Linked DNA regions of Drosophila melanogaster. The protein of the gene in region 1 interacts with the protein of each later gene in a biochemical or structural test. Each region holds a gene or a part of one and is shown in the gene's direction. Other genes may lie near its edges.

Evidence for each region. Proteins that work in one complex are often made in the same cells at the same time.
Region 2: the proteins of 14-3-3epsilon (region 1) and Rip11 interact in far-western blotting, tested with the Drosophila melanogaster proteins (one study listed by BioGRID).

What each region holds. Positions count from the first base shown.
Region 1 is NT_033777.3:18,239,804-18,249,358, forward strand, and holds 14-3-3epsilon (14-3-3epsilon), read left to right. Parts: upstream 1-2,883; 5' UTR 2,884-3,042; coding exon 3,043-3,106; intron 3,107-7,629; coding exon 7,630-8,099; intron 8,100-8,167; coding exon 8,168-8,348; intron 8,349-8,411; coding exon 8,412-8,485; 3' UTR 8,486-8,776; downstream 8,777-9,555. Other genes in the region: CG7156 (uncharacterized protein), read right to left, coding at 89-307, 367-2,097, 2,160-2,255. UniProt on the Drosophila melanogaster protein: Positively regulates Ras-mediated pathways. Acts downstream or parallel to Raf, but upstream of nuclear factors in Ras signaling. Three mutants have been isolated, that suppress the rough eye phenotype caused by mutated Ras1 (sev-Ras1 v12).
Region 2 is NC_004354.4:18,643,684-18,649,161, reverse strand, and holds the start of Rip11 (Rab11 interacting protein), read left to right. Parts: upstream 1-1,594; 5' UTR 1,595-1,941; coding exon 1,942-1,972; intron 1,973-5,478. Other genes in the region: Nup35 (nucleoporin 35kDa), read right to left, coding at 1-646, 706-856.

The sequences.
Region 1 (9,555 bases):
AGCAAGGAATCACAAATGGGATTTCAGGTACAGTACGAAATAAGAAAATACTTTACGGACTCAATAGCAAAGCAAATAGTGCCTATTTTCACATGGACTCAGTTCCCTGCTCCAAAACCGCCTGCCAATCGATGCCTTTGAAGAATGGATGAGCCTGCAATTGGTCGTAGTCCAAACGTAGCTCCGGAGAAAGCTGCAGCAGTTGCTCCAGCAGATCCTTGGCATGATCGGAAATCTCCAACGACTCACTAGGATACTGAACACAACCATAGAGGTCCAGTTGCCCGGGATGCGTGACTTTGTAGGGCTGGAAAGAAAGCAGATTGCTATTATCCAAACATTTTCAATCGAGAACTCAAAACTTACAACTCCCAGCAGAAGCTGATAGAGCACCACGCCGTAGCTCCACCAGTCCGAGCGAAAAGTGAGCGGTCTTTCTGGTGCCACAAAGTGATTAGCCACTGCCTCCAAGTTCAGTGCCTTGTGCACATAGTTGTCGTCCGAGGTTAGACCCTCGTTCTGATAGAAATACGTCAGGAGCAGCTGTCCCTTGGCGCCCAGTAAAATGTTGCCCATGTGCAGATCGCGCAGAATAACGCCCTTGCCGTGCAGACTGTGTATGGCGATGGCCAGTTCGCAAGCCCACTGACGCAGGCACTGCTCCGGAATGGGTTTACTTCGGATGCGATTTTGATCCACCTTTTTATTTCTTTTGGGTGTAACGACTCCCGCTTGCAAATTGCTCAGCGTGTTTGTTACGGACTTTAAAAGCTGCTGGGAGCTGCGAACCAAATCGCTGACATCGCTGTCCGAAGTCAGAGGTGGCTCCTCTGCCTCCTTCTCCTCCGGCTCCTGGTCCGAGGGAAAAAGCTCTCCATAATTGACACTCTTACTACTCGTGGGCGTGTAGCTCTGCAGGTAATCGTACAACATGCCGCCCTCCGCCTGCCGCAGTAGCAGAAAAATCTTCTGCTCCGACTGAAAGTAGGCCAGCAGTTGGACCATGTAAGGCACCTGCTGGGGCAGAAAGATGCTCTGGGTCAGCGAGTGACTGGCCGGCTTCTCGACGCCCTTCATAATGGCAGCCGGCTGCTGGGATTTCGTCACACACTGCACCTGCATCACACGGTCCTGGAGAATCTGCAGCACCTTGTAGCGTGCCAACTGATTCCAGGGGCACTCCAAATGGCTCACGCTACCGCCGTCTGTCGTGTCCAGCGAGAGCTGGAACTGCAGCTTCTTCGTCGGACAATCGTTGGCCAGGAAATTGGCGTGAATCTCCTCAGCCCGCGCCAAGTATTTGGCTATCTTCGCCTTGGCTATAAATCTACGCTCCTCACTGCTATCCTGCTTGGCCCCATTGAGCAGCAGGTCCACACCATGCTTGTACCTCTCGTGGGCTTCGGCATACTCCAGGTTAACCTCCGCTTGGACGGCATGACTGAACTCTAGAGCCGCCTCATATATGTAGTCGCTGTCGTCGCTTTCTATGGAAGCCATGGGCGTCAGAAGGCGGAGATAATCCCTCTTGGTCAGCGCTACGTCTGTCTTGGGCTCCTGTTTCGTTTCTAATTCGATTTCAGTTTCTTTGGCCTGGGATTCGTTGTTCGTTTGCTCCTTATCACAGCGCGGATCTAGAGGCGTGATGCCCCCCGCGTCGTGTGGGTCATAGGGCAAGTCTAGTTTATCGCAAATGTCGGCTATGGCACCAGCGCAAGTTCCTGTTTCCGAACCGCCACTTCCGCAGCCATTGTCTTCCGTCTGCAGCCGCAGGGATCGCTCCACATATAGCTTCTTAAGTGGCGATCCGTTTGGCGAGGGTGTCTCCTGGAAGAACTGTGTGAAGGTTGAGCACTTGTACAGCGCCGGATGCTGCGCTGCAAAGTCTAATAATTGCAGGATGTACTCCTTACGCCGTTGGATGACTGCCGCATCGAATCTCTTGAAATATGTGCTATCTGTGGGCACTGGCAACTTGCCGGGTAGTTGGAGACTCTTGTGGCGCCGGCTAAGCTCGCGATGCAGCCGCTTGACATCGTGGAACCGTTTCCACACCACCAGGCAGGTCAGAGCTTGAGGTACCGACCTTGGGAAGACCTAAAAGTGGGTGAGGTTTACTATTTGGAACAGTTCATCTGCCCCCAAAAAAAACGACTTACAATCGAGGTGATTTTGTATATTGTGTACCCGCCCTTGTGCTCCTGGGTGTCCGTCACTGTGAAGCTGTGGATCCAGCCGCCCAGGTTGAGAGTCATTCTGGTTTCTGCTGCAAGACCTGGTGGTTTAGTTTCTAAACATATTTCCCATATCAAATGTCGTTGTTCCCCAACTTTTTTGCAACATTAAAGCTAGTGTGACCAAAGGACGCCAAAATAACCACTTCCGGACTTCGAAATTAAATAAGAGCATTTAGTAGCTTATTTTTTTAACTTAGAAGGATTAAATTAAACCATAAAAATATTAACTGTTTTTTAAACACTTTTATTTAAAATAAAAAACGGTCACATTTTAAAATTTAAAATTTATACTCTAATCGAAAGTATCATAAGTATCGATAGTCTGCAGTGCATGTGGGTTATGTCATGACTAATGACAAATTGAATTGCACAGAAAAGGTGGAAGTCCCTGCTAACGACATTGCTTCATGTGTTCATTTAATACAACATATTTATAGCTATAGCTTTTTTAAATGTGTCAATTTACTATAACATTTTAAAACTTCCGAATAAAAGCTTCACACAAACGGATTTTCACAAGTAATATCCAGATAGAAATACCATTTTAAAAAGAAATTTTTCCGATTTTACCACCATCGCTTGCGCATGCGCACGGAACGCGTGATGCGTTTTTAAGTCCGTCATTAGGCCATCGCCCATCAATTTTAGTGTTTCAACCGCCGCCCGATACGGTCACACCGCTCGAGAAGTAGAGAAAAAAGAAGGCGACGAACCACAGGCAGCAAGCAAAATCGACGCCGCACGTACCGGGAGCATTTAAATAATTTTTTCTGTGGATTAATTTTACCGAAAAGGCTTCAACACAATGACTGAGCGCGAGAACAATGTGTACAAGGCAAAGCTGGCCGAACAGGCCGAGCGCTACGACGGTGAGTAGTGATTCCGAAAAAAAATGGTAGCAAAAATGGTAGAAAACGGTAGACAAATGCTAGTAGAGTAGGGAAAAAATTTTCTCGACTGAGGAGCGCCAACGTTTTTGGGGAGGGGTCGCCTGGGATTTTTTTTTGTCTTCCCGATCCATTGCGTCGTCGCGTGGTCGTTGAAAAAGTCTAGAGCTCCGCTTTTCGTCCGAATGTGCCAATTAAAAGGTTTTCTTCCAGAGAAAACGATGGAAATTTTCAATTTTCATCGCTGTAGCTGCATTCGAAGCGACGCAGCGTCGCGATGAGTAGTATTTCTTGCGAAAAGAACGGGAGATGGAGGAAACAGTAAGAAGAGGAAGAAGCCGAAGAAGAAGCAGAGCGTCGGAAGAACGAAAAGAGATGAATAGAGTGTAAAACCTGATTTTTACCGGCAAAAATTCGCGTGGTTTTGCACAAAAAGAGAAAGAAACGGAATTGCGTATTATAATTTACAGCAAATAGTTTGCTCCGCTCTTTCTTTTTTGGAACTATATAGTATTAGTTTAGAAGGGGAAAATTTTGTGTATTTGGCGTTGCGAGCAAGGGCTGCGCGGCAGCTAGCATTTTATTTTCTTCCTTGGTTGCTAAGGGCTGTTTGCAGTTGATTCCAGTTCGCGTTCTTTTTTTTTCTTTCTTAGTAGTTGTCAAGGCGTAACTTTCTAGAAACGACACATTTTTTGGGGATTCTAGTTTCTTAAATACACTTATTCCACACCCAAAATCAATGATTGTGGGGCAGGGGTAGGTGCAGTCCTCTCTTTCAGACCCCCTCCCCCTTTTTTTCCACGAAATGTGCTTTTCATGCGCAGCAGCGGCGTCGTCACCATGCCGTTGCTGCGAAAAATCGATGAATGAATCGATTGTGTCGCCGGCTGTCTCCCTCTCTCACTTTCTGCCTATTGCTTAATTCTTTATTTATGCAAATTAGTTGCGGCTAGTTGCAAGCAGTTATGCGGCCACTTGGCAACCCTATCTGATAATGCGAAAAAAGGAAATATAAAATTTTTCTGTGCTTCTTCTGTTACTCTCGCATTACTCATGCTTATGCGCATGTATGCATGCGTGTGTGTGTGTGTTTGTACGGAGGTGTGCGTGTGCCGATGAGTGTCCGCCGGGCGGTTTTTATTGTTGCTTCTTCTGTAGCCTTTGCTTATATTTAATTAAAAATACTCCAATTAATTAAAAAGCCAGCTCAAAATGCAAAGAAAGTCGCAGTGGGAGGGGGACGGCAAATTCGGCATTTGCAAAAAGCGCGCGCTTAACCAATTGCCATAAACGCTGCGTGCGCCAAAACGAGATGGCTAGTGTGTCGAAGTGTCGGCGACGCTGCACAGTGGCTGTAAAAAGTTAACAAACATTTGGCGATTCCTCTGTCTGCCGTTCCTTCCTGCTGCTGTACTTGGGCAGCGACTATAGCAACAATAATTGCAAACGGTACTCTGCACCTAATTGCCTGCAAAACTGACAACATTAACGGGCGGTGGCGGCGGCAAAGAAGTCAATCAACTATTAGCACACACAAACAGGGCATACATGCATACATACACCACTGGTGGGGATATTTGTGTCTGTATCACATGTTTGTCTTCTTATTTTCGCCCATCGGTGTGCGTTGGTGTGCAGCACTTGGCGTTGGCCTTGTCACACTCGGACATTTTGCGGTGGAGCTCATGCTGGAGCACCAATACCATTGCGCGCGAAGAGAGAGAAAGAGCGCGGCGGAGAGCGAAGCGGAGCGGCAAAGCCGCCAGCCGGCAATGTCTGCGCCCCCAATCTGAACTTGCCTCGCCCTCTCCGCCCCTGATCTCATCTCCTCTTCAAACCCCTGCTCCCCTTTTCTGCACACATTAACGTCAGCCTTTAAGTGTGCTTTCTCAGGTGCTGCCCCCTGCGCCCACCATCCCCCGCTCCATGCTCTTTCCATCTTGCGCTCTCTGCGTTCTATCTACATTTTTTTCGAGGTCGCGCGCTGCTTTTTCCGTTGATGTTCGTTCTCGTCAATGTCGTCAATATGCGCAAAAGGCAGACAAAAAAAAAATGAGTGGAAAAAGTAGCATACATACGGTTGATTGATGGGCGGTGGGTGGCGGTGGTGTTAGGTGTGTTTTGTTTGTTGCTCGCTTTTTGCTCAAATTGCACCATTTTAGGGGCTGTTGTTGCTGCTTCCTTTGTCTAATTACACATTCTCTGCCCGCTGTAACGGTATGTGCGCATGTTTTTTCAGCTGCTGCGCCCTTATGCGACTCACACACACACACATACACACACACACAAAACCACGCGCACTCATACCCACACGAGCGCAAGACACACCCACAGGCGTCTCATAAGGGAGGGGTGGATCTCTGGGGGCGTGTTGGTAGGAGGGGGTGGAAAATCCTGCCCATTCCTTTTGCTCCCTATTTCGTCCCAATATTTCATTCCAGCTCGCGTGACTTCTTTTTACTTTTGGGTGGTGGTGGATTGCCTTTGCAGGGTTGTCGCTAGTTTATCAAATTCCAATACTTATTTCTTGGAAAAACAACACAATTGAGATGACCACGCTCATCTTTGCAATCAACTTGTTTATGAAAAAGATTAATCATTTTTTATAATAAAAAAGATGAATACTTTTCAAATGTAGTTCAACTACTCACGAATCTACTTAGAATCTATTCCATACTATTTTCGCCAAATTTGCTAGACTTTCGTGAACTTTGCACTTTCTACTGAAAGTTCATATGATTCGAGAAGTTTCCATACATTTCTTTTTACCACTTCGTGGTTCCGCAAATGATTTATCATGCCCGCGGGACTTGGCTCTTTATTTTTGGGACGCGTTTATTGATTTTCGCCTTGCTATATGTACATGATTTAGTGACTGGTCTGACGCGCATGTCTCATAATTGGTTGTGGATTACTTACTACTAAGCAACATGTGCTGTATACTTTTAAAGTTGCAAGGATCCCAGCCACCCTTCACCACCCAACTGCGCTCCCCCTCCCCTTCCCCCTCCCTACCCACTCTCAAGTTCATTTTTTATGCGTAACTCAGCATAGCTTGCAAGCGTTGTAAAATGCGTGTGCACATCATCATCCACATTGGTTTCAAACAGCCCGCCAATGCGAACAACAATGTTTGAAGTTCAATCACAGCCACAAATATTCGTGAATCATGCAACTTTATTGGCAATTTTTCACAAATACGTGCTACAACAAAAATCGCACTAATAAGCAGACAGTCGGCAAATGTCCCGATGTCTTTGTGTGTGAGTGCTAGTGTGTGTGTATGTATGGGGGTGTTGGTGTGCGAAATACGTCAGCAGCTGACGGGCAGCGGGTGCGAGCGAGAGAGGGCAGACAGTGCAAGTCAGCAAACGCGCTACAATTACAATATTTTGAATAGTAGTGTAGTCTAGCTCTGTATTGTTATCAGCCACCAGATATGCCCGAGATAGTTAGCCTGCAACTGGCTTTACCCAGACAGGCAGCACTGCAATGATAATTTAGATGATTTGGTTCGGAAATATCTTACATTTCCTTTGGTCAGATATCAAAAACTAATCTTGCATAATTCCAAATACTAATCATATGCCCGAAAAGCATTTAAATGAACTTCGAAATATATTTAGACTTCAATTGACTGACTCGAAAAAGGAAATGAAATGGCCAAATGATATCAGCTCTTAACCTACTCACTTTAATTTGATAAACGAGCTCCTTGTTTGCTTCCGTGTTGAGTTCCGAACATGTGATTCATGACGCAGTTTTAGATGGTGATGCAGACGCAGATAGAGATGCCCCCGATGGGGACGATAGGATTGGGTGCAACAATGTGGCGGAAGCCCTTATCACCGGCTGATTGGATGGCCCCGTATTGGTATTGGTATTGGTATTGGTATGACAGAACCAGCTAAATCAGGCGTAGACGCAACGCCACCTTATGCATAAATATATCTGCATAACTTATATATCATCGCGGATTGGGCGTGTCGGCGATAAGAAATGGAAAATAGGTAGTCTAGGCTGTCGCGAGGGGACAAGGACAAGCGGGAGGAAAGTCCAGATAACAAGCCTTCCATACCTTGGATAAATTTATCTACGCAAAATGTATATAATGTATGTATCTTGTTGGCTTTCCAATTGAAATGTTTGGTTTTTATTTTTAATCTTAACATGAAATATATGAAAGCAATTCAAAAATTATATGAACAATCAAACAAACATTTGTATTCTACGAAATTGTTGATAAAATAGCGTCCGATAGCATTGTTTAAACTACATCATAAACATTACTTCTTACTCACTCAAATGAAGTATTTGTTTAATGATGTATATTTTCCTTAGGCATTGCAGAATGAATATACATATATGCGAACTAATGATTAAACTAATCGTTAGTTAATGGGCAATCCCTTAAATTTGGTTTGAGATGTTACACTTGATTATTGTAAACATTTACTCTTATATACTAAAGACCACACCTTTCATTTGTTATGTCCTCTTTACAGAAATGGTGGAGGCCATGAAGAAGGTCGCCTCCATGGACGTAGAGCTGACCGTCGAGGAGCGAAATCTGCTGTCGGTGGCGTACAAGAATGTGATTGGAGCACGCCGTGCCTCGTGGCGCATCATCACCTCGATCGAACAGAAGGAGGAGAACAAGGGGGCCGAGGAGAAATTGGAGATGATCAAAACCTACCGCGGACAGGTGGAGAAGGAGCTGCGCGACATCTGCTCGGATATACTGAACGTGCTCGAGAAGCATCTCATTCCATGCGCCACATCCGGCGAAAGCAAAGTATTCTACTATAAGATGAAGGGCGACTACCATCGCTACCTGGCCGAATTCGCCACCGGCTCCGACCGCAAGGATGCGGCAGAGAACTCGCTGATTGCCTACAAGGCGGCCAGCGATATTGCCATGAACGATCTGCCACCAACACACCCCATCCGTTTGGGCTTGGCATTGAACTTCTCGGTGAGTGATTGTGAAGAGACACGATGTCGTCATATGTTTTCTATATATATATTTTAAAATCCTTGCAGGTGTTCTACTATGAGATTCTCAACTCGCCGGACCGCGCTTGCCGCTTGGCGAAAGCCGCTTTCGATGATGCCATTGCCGAGTTGGATACACTGAGCGAAGAGAGCTACAAAGACTCGACACTCATCATGCAGCTGCTGCGCGACAACCTCACATTATGGACGTCCGATATGCAGGCAGAAGGTAAGTTGTAATATCACATCCACTTGTTCGGCTCCGTTATTAAGTTCTAAATATTATACTAAGAAGTAGACCCCAACGCAGGTGATGGCGAGCCCAAAGAGCAAATCCAGGATGTTGAGGATCAGGACGTGTCGTAATTTAAGTAAACCCCCGCCCTTCCATTTAAAACACATTATATACCTTCTAAAGTAAATATAATACCATATAATATATATGCATACAACAACAACAACAAAATCAACAACAACACGACAACAACTTCAAGAACAACAACATGGAACCAATGCGGCAACAACAACCATAGCAGTCGATCACCACAACAGCAGCACCCGTATGTGTATCAACATATTTGCAACATGATAACAGCAAGCAAAGCAGCAGGAACACAAATTGTCATCCACAATAAACAGCATGGAAAACAACAGCACAAAAACAGAAAAAAAAAACAACTATCCAAGCAAAATGTTTGAAAATTGGGCGGCCTGGTGGGCGTGGCGCGGCTGTTGCTGCGGCCCAGAATCGAATCGCAACATAAAAAATTCGCGGTACTATTAAGTTGGCGTCGCTTCGCAATTTGGCTCCTTAACGTTAGAAAACTGCAACATCAAGTCTACTACATTTGAATTTTTTGCATTCGAGAAACCAAGCATTTTATTATATTTGAATAAATATTATATTTAATTATGAGAAGCAAAAACGAAACAAATAAAATTCATTTAAACCACAAAACACATTAAAGCACAAGCAGAAAAAGAACGAAAGTCGAAACACTAAACGAAAATTGAGAAACAATCACACGAGAGTAAATCACAAAGCAAATTTCATCGAGTTGGCATGCATTAATTTTTAAAACAAACTTTAAATACGACAGCAACACGTAAAATACAACTTTAATTTTAAGCCAATAATAAACGTGAGAACGAGGTAATAAAAATGAAAAACGATTTAATAAGCGCAAACGTAAAAGTAAAACATAAAGTCGAAAATGTAAGGAAAAAATACAGCAATTAATTTAAATTTAATACATGAATAAAACGTAAATGGAGTAAACGAAACGAAATGAGCAAACAGAATGAAAGACGCAAAAAGCTAAAAACTATATTAAATGAGAAAAAGGAATGTTAGTTAAGCGAAATTCAAAACGAATTCTTAAGCTTAAATTTGTATGTATGTAAGTGTACTGTTCAATAACACCGACACACCCTCA
Region 2 (5,478 bases), on another chromosome or scaffold:
ACCGACCTATCCGTGCAGCGCGACACGCCCACCATCACATTGCCGGCGATGATTTTTTCGTTGTAGTTCAGCGCCTTGTCGCTCTCGATGCGCGAGGAGTAGCGCACATACATCCAGTTGCCGTTCTGCGGGGCATGCACCACGTCCACAATGGTGCCGCAGACGGTGAAGTGCTGCAGCACCATGGAGCCGGCCCCCGGCGGGAACCCGAAGATGGTAACCCAAAAGTCGGATAGGCGCGAGTTGCCGCCCGTCGTCACGGATGTGCCCAGGCCTCCAGCTGGCGAGGCAGTGGCTCCAAGTGGCGAGCACAGTGCTCGCATCGAGGCATTGATGGCATTGGGCGCCCCGGGTGCGAACGAGTCATTCGTGTGATAGCTGCTCTGGTAGCTCTGGTTCGGTGACTGCAACTGCAGCATGCCAAGATGGTTCTTCTTCTTCGGGGTGACGGACTGTTCGCGCAGCGAGTCGAAGAGTCCCTGGGTGGGCGGTCCCGTCTGGTGGTGGCTGTGCGTCTGGCCGTGCGCGGTCGTTGAGCTGTTGGCGCCCACAGCCGTGTGGGCGCCTCCTTGGGCGGCGAACAGAGTGCGTGTGCTCAGAGCGGAGCGGTTGAGCTCGTGCGGACTGCTGCCGCCGGGCGAGGTGGCTGCGGGGCATGTGTTCATATAGCCAATGCGTACGAGCTGCTTGATGCCGGCTACTTACCGAAACTTATATTAGAGCGCCCGGTTTTCGGGGACAGCGTGTTCTTGTGCGGCGTTATACCTTGCGGATCGCCGAGCAGAAAAGGTGGCAGATACTGGGTCTGGTTGGAGCCAGGACTGTTGACCGGGCTGCCCAGATTCATTGGCTCCATATCGAATGCGAATATTAATTATAATAATTATAACGGCGAAAAACGAAAAAGCGTTGCATTAACAAGGACGCCACAGCTGTAATCGGTTAGTGCGACCAGGCTGGGCTGGGGTCGAAATGCTAGAGGTGGATGCCAACATCGATGTCATCGATGTTTTCGAAAAATCACAAACATCGATGTTTTTCAAAGAATCATCGATGTTTTTCCATCTTTACTGCGCATCGTAGGTTAAAAGTGTTTAAATTGTGAGTATAAATTAAATTTCCAAATTTTCCAATTTCCATTTATTAATAGCATATTGCAAATTTTCAGTGACTTGCTGGTGGTCTTGGCTGGCGTCGTGGAAGACGACACGTATATTTATGCATGTATGCATGCGTGCACCTGCTCGTATGCATACTGGCTTACTTTTCTATTGAATTACTTTTCTATTGAATTGCATTAATTAGTATATTTGATTTATAGGAGCAATTATTGGACCAGGGGCGGATAAAAACGTAGACGGCAATAAGCTTGTCATGTTTAGTTATAGTACTGCCTTTTTATTTAAGCAATTATAAAAAAATAATAATCTTTAAGTTAAGCAGTTAATTTTTTTGTTTTTATTGAAAACATCGATGTCCGCCAACATCGATTTCTCCACCTCTACTAAATACGCCGTTCTTCGCAGTCGCGCCGCGCAACTTGCACTTTTGCAGCTCCCCGACTGGCAGTGGGCACATTTCGTTTCCCCCAAACGGTCACTCTAGCGGCCACCTTTCAAACAACAACATCACGCGTCGCGTCTCCGTCTTTTTCCTTTTTTTTTTTACATTAGACTACACTACGTTCTCCTGGCGTTTCGTTCGTGTCGCGCGTGATTAAATTGGCAACTGAGAACAATAAGAAGAAATCACAGTGTGCGAGCAGCAACAAACACAACGATTAGTGTAAACAAAACACATCGACAACAACAATCCAAATTACAATATAGGCAAAGAAGAAGAAACGAAAGGCAGGACCTTCGCAGCAAGAGCGAGACAGCAAAGGATCGGGATCGGGAGAGAGCGTGAGAGTGCGACTTGATCAACGGGATACAGGGTGACATGTGGAGTCCGACGCACTGTAGTGTAACGGGTAAGTGGGGGCGAAAAGCGGGGGACACCCGTTTTAGTATTTGTGTTTTTTTTTTATTTTTTTTTTACGGCGAATAAATCGCATTAAAACTTAAACTCGTTTGTGCCGCGTGTGTATGGGTGTGTGGCCTGCGCCGTTGTGTTGGTGTGTGCTTAAAATATTGTCATGACGGTCGTGTTGTTCCTATTGCTTTTGCTGCAGACGTACCAATTCGAAATTTCACTTTTTCCCCACCGCGCGCTTCCTCCTTTTGCCATTGCCTCTTGCTCTTCCTCTTGTGTTTTCCTGACTCCAGCAATTGCCTTTTTATCAGGCTTTTCTGGCTGATAAGATAATTCCCTTGCTCGAATGCGCACTTACTCATCGCATTGCTAGAAAATTGCTCATGCTAAGCGCTCCCCTTATGTATTTGCATCGCCTTCCGCCCCTTGGCATTCCTTAGCATACGCCCATGGTGGCGCTTTTTTGGTGCCTCTTGTTTACCTTTGCCATTGTTTTCGTTTTGCGTTTTCTTCAGGGCTAAGTGTCAATGAGAAATCGCGAATTCCGATTCCAAATTCGTGACAAAACACAAAGCGCGCTCATTCTGCTGTTCCCAGTCCAGTGATTATGGAAACAAATAATAACTGAAAGCCAAAGCATAGATATTTTCATATCTCCAACATGGCCAATAAGACCCTTTAAGAAATGTTTTCCGCAATGTTAGTTATTGGTTGCAATAGTGGCCACTGGGCGGCCAAATGAGTAAATGAGTCACGAATTGTGGTTCAATCTAGAGCTGCGTGGAATTTACACAAATCAAGATGATAAATACACTGGGCTCCATTGACATGAACGGATCCAGCTTGTTGTGATCTTGAACTTGCCCCGCTATCAGTTAGTACGTTCTTTGCCTCAATTCGCTCGTTTCATTTATTTTGCATATTTGCACAGCGCACAGTGTTTTATTCCAGCAATTTGCGATTAAAACCCAGAGCCGTTGACGTCACGGCGAATGAGCAAACAAATCATCGCCGTGTGGCTCTCCCAAATTCGCCGAGTTTCGCCTTGTTTGTTAAGTTCATATGTACATATATACAAATGTACACGCACATAAATACACCTGTCAATATTTGCCAATTTCTTTGCGATGAGAATGAGATGAGCGCGCACGCTTTGGAAACAGCTGTTTTCGCTGCTGTTCTCAGGAGCACTCTGTTCCCTATCCTTTGAAATGCCATAGTGTTCCCACACAGAGAGAAATTGCGACTCAAAAGGATTCGTTTTTTTTTTTGTTGTCTCTTTTCAAAACGAAATACAAAACTATTAACTTATATATAGAATAGGCAATTCTGGACTGAAATATTTAAATTAAAGGCCATGTTTTTTTTTTTTTTTAATTATTGCACAGCTGCAGGCTTTGAATTCTACTTACCAGATTTGCTAGTTAAATTAAGAATTCATCTGAGTTTACCATGTTTACATGCATGTTTGCATGCCAGAGAATTTCTTTCACTGTGCTTTTTTCGTTTCCCCTGTTAGATCATCCAGCAAACACCTGGCGTCCCGCCCTCTTATTAATGGCTTGTTGTTTGGGGACCATTTAGTCTGGGAGAGTTCCTTATCGACTGCGAACTCCACCCAATTGGCCCATTGCGTGCCTTATTTTTAGCCGTAAATTCTTGGCCGCCACTTACTCACTCACTCACTCCACTCACTTACTCGGCTACTTACTCCAACTCGCACATCTACGGACACACCTACTGAATAAATGCCTAAAATACCTGAAAATGAAAATTCCTCAGCGGGAAATTGTGCAATGAGCGGCGGGCAGCCAAGCAGACCCAAACAAAACAAACGCCTAATTTTCCTTTTCATTTCCATTTTGGTTTTTGGTTTATGTTTGGCTTGCTTTTGCAACGCATTTTATGCGGTTGCAGTGAAAATCAGAGCGGACCAGACCGCCCTTTTTTTTATCGATAATGAATGGTGGCGGCACAGTGAATACCTGCTAACGCGGAAGCCAGGTACCAGGTACTATATAACAAACCTATATTTCTTGTATTTATACTGCTAAAAATACAATGGAACCGTGTGATACATACGTAGTAATCTGTTACACTTCTGAACCTTTTAAGCAAGATATTGTGTCGTTCGACTAAAAGATAGATATTCTAATTAAATTGAAAAATGATCTTTATGGCAGCTTCTACTGTATTTCCCCTACTATCACCGAATCGATAAGGAAATCAGTGCGATAAGAGCTGGAGCTGTTGCTAGAACTGTAGCTGGAGCTGGATCACCTCTGGTCACGTCAGCGGGCAGATGGCGTCTTGAGATTGTGTCCACTTCTTCCGCACCCTGCCCGGCGATGCCATCGTCCATGTGAGACCGTTTTAATGCGGCTCCATCGATGCACTTATGCGAAACAGTTACGTTCCATTGCTCGACCCATTTAGCCAGAATAGAACCAAACAAACCGAAGCGGATCGGATGGGATCGGGATGGGTCCGGGGTTTGGTCTTATGATCATGATGGAAGGGGGAGGGGAGGGGAGGGGATAGTGAAGAAAAACAGGTCTGGCATTGGATGGGATCGCTGGCCGAAAGTCTCTTCGCATCGCGGGTCTGCAATTGATTATTTTCCAGTTCCAGTTCTTGGCCAGTGGCCACATTCCTCCGGCGCTTGCCGAACCCCAGTCCCCAGTCACCAGTCCCCAAGCACCGAGCCCCGAACACCCGGGCACATCCTCCCCTGAATATTCATGCTGGGAATCTCGGATTCTTTGAGCCACCGGGGCATTTATATTCAAAACATGCCATGGCAAACAGAAGCCAACTGCAACTGAAATGCTAATCGCCTTTCGTTTGGGAAAACTGTGTTTCATGTCTTCTGCTGTCTGTTTTCCATTTCAAAATCGCACGGCTTCGTGGGTTCAATGCTTGCGAGAAAGAAATTGTTTATGCATAACAATAAAATGATTCGCTGTAAGATGGTGGGATCCCATTGATAGACCGTTTACTTTGATCGCCGCCTCTGTACATTTTCGCATTTTCGCACGATCCGCACACACCCACACACACATACGTATGTACATACTAATGTATGTATGTACATATGTGTGCAATGTTGCATTGCCTGCTCGATGTTGCAGTTGCAACATTAATTGTTGCTAATGCTTTTCATCAAACGGGATCTGTGCTGTAATGCGGGGCCATAAAGGCGAGGATTGGCCCCCAGTTAGGTGAGCTTGTAGCACGTGGTTAACCCGAGTTGAAACCCATAACCCTGAACTCCGCACCATGAACCCTTCATCTTTCGATTGGCGCACTCGTTAGGCAAGAGCCGTCCAAAAGTGAGTCTCGAGAAGAACTATCTTCCGAAATGGGAGCGCGAGCAAGTGGCTCATTAGCATGCGTGGTTGGATGCCCATGCCCCAAGGAGCATTGGCCTCGGCTAGCAGTTTGCTGTATGTATATACATATACTTGGCCACGCCCTCTCACCGCCCCCGAAAAAAAAAAAGAG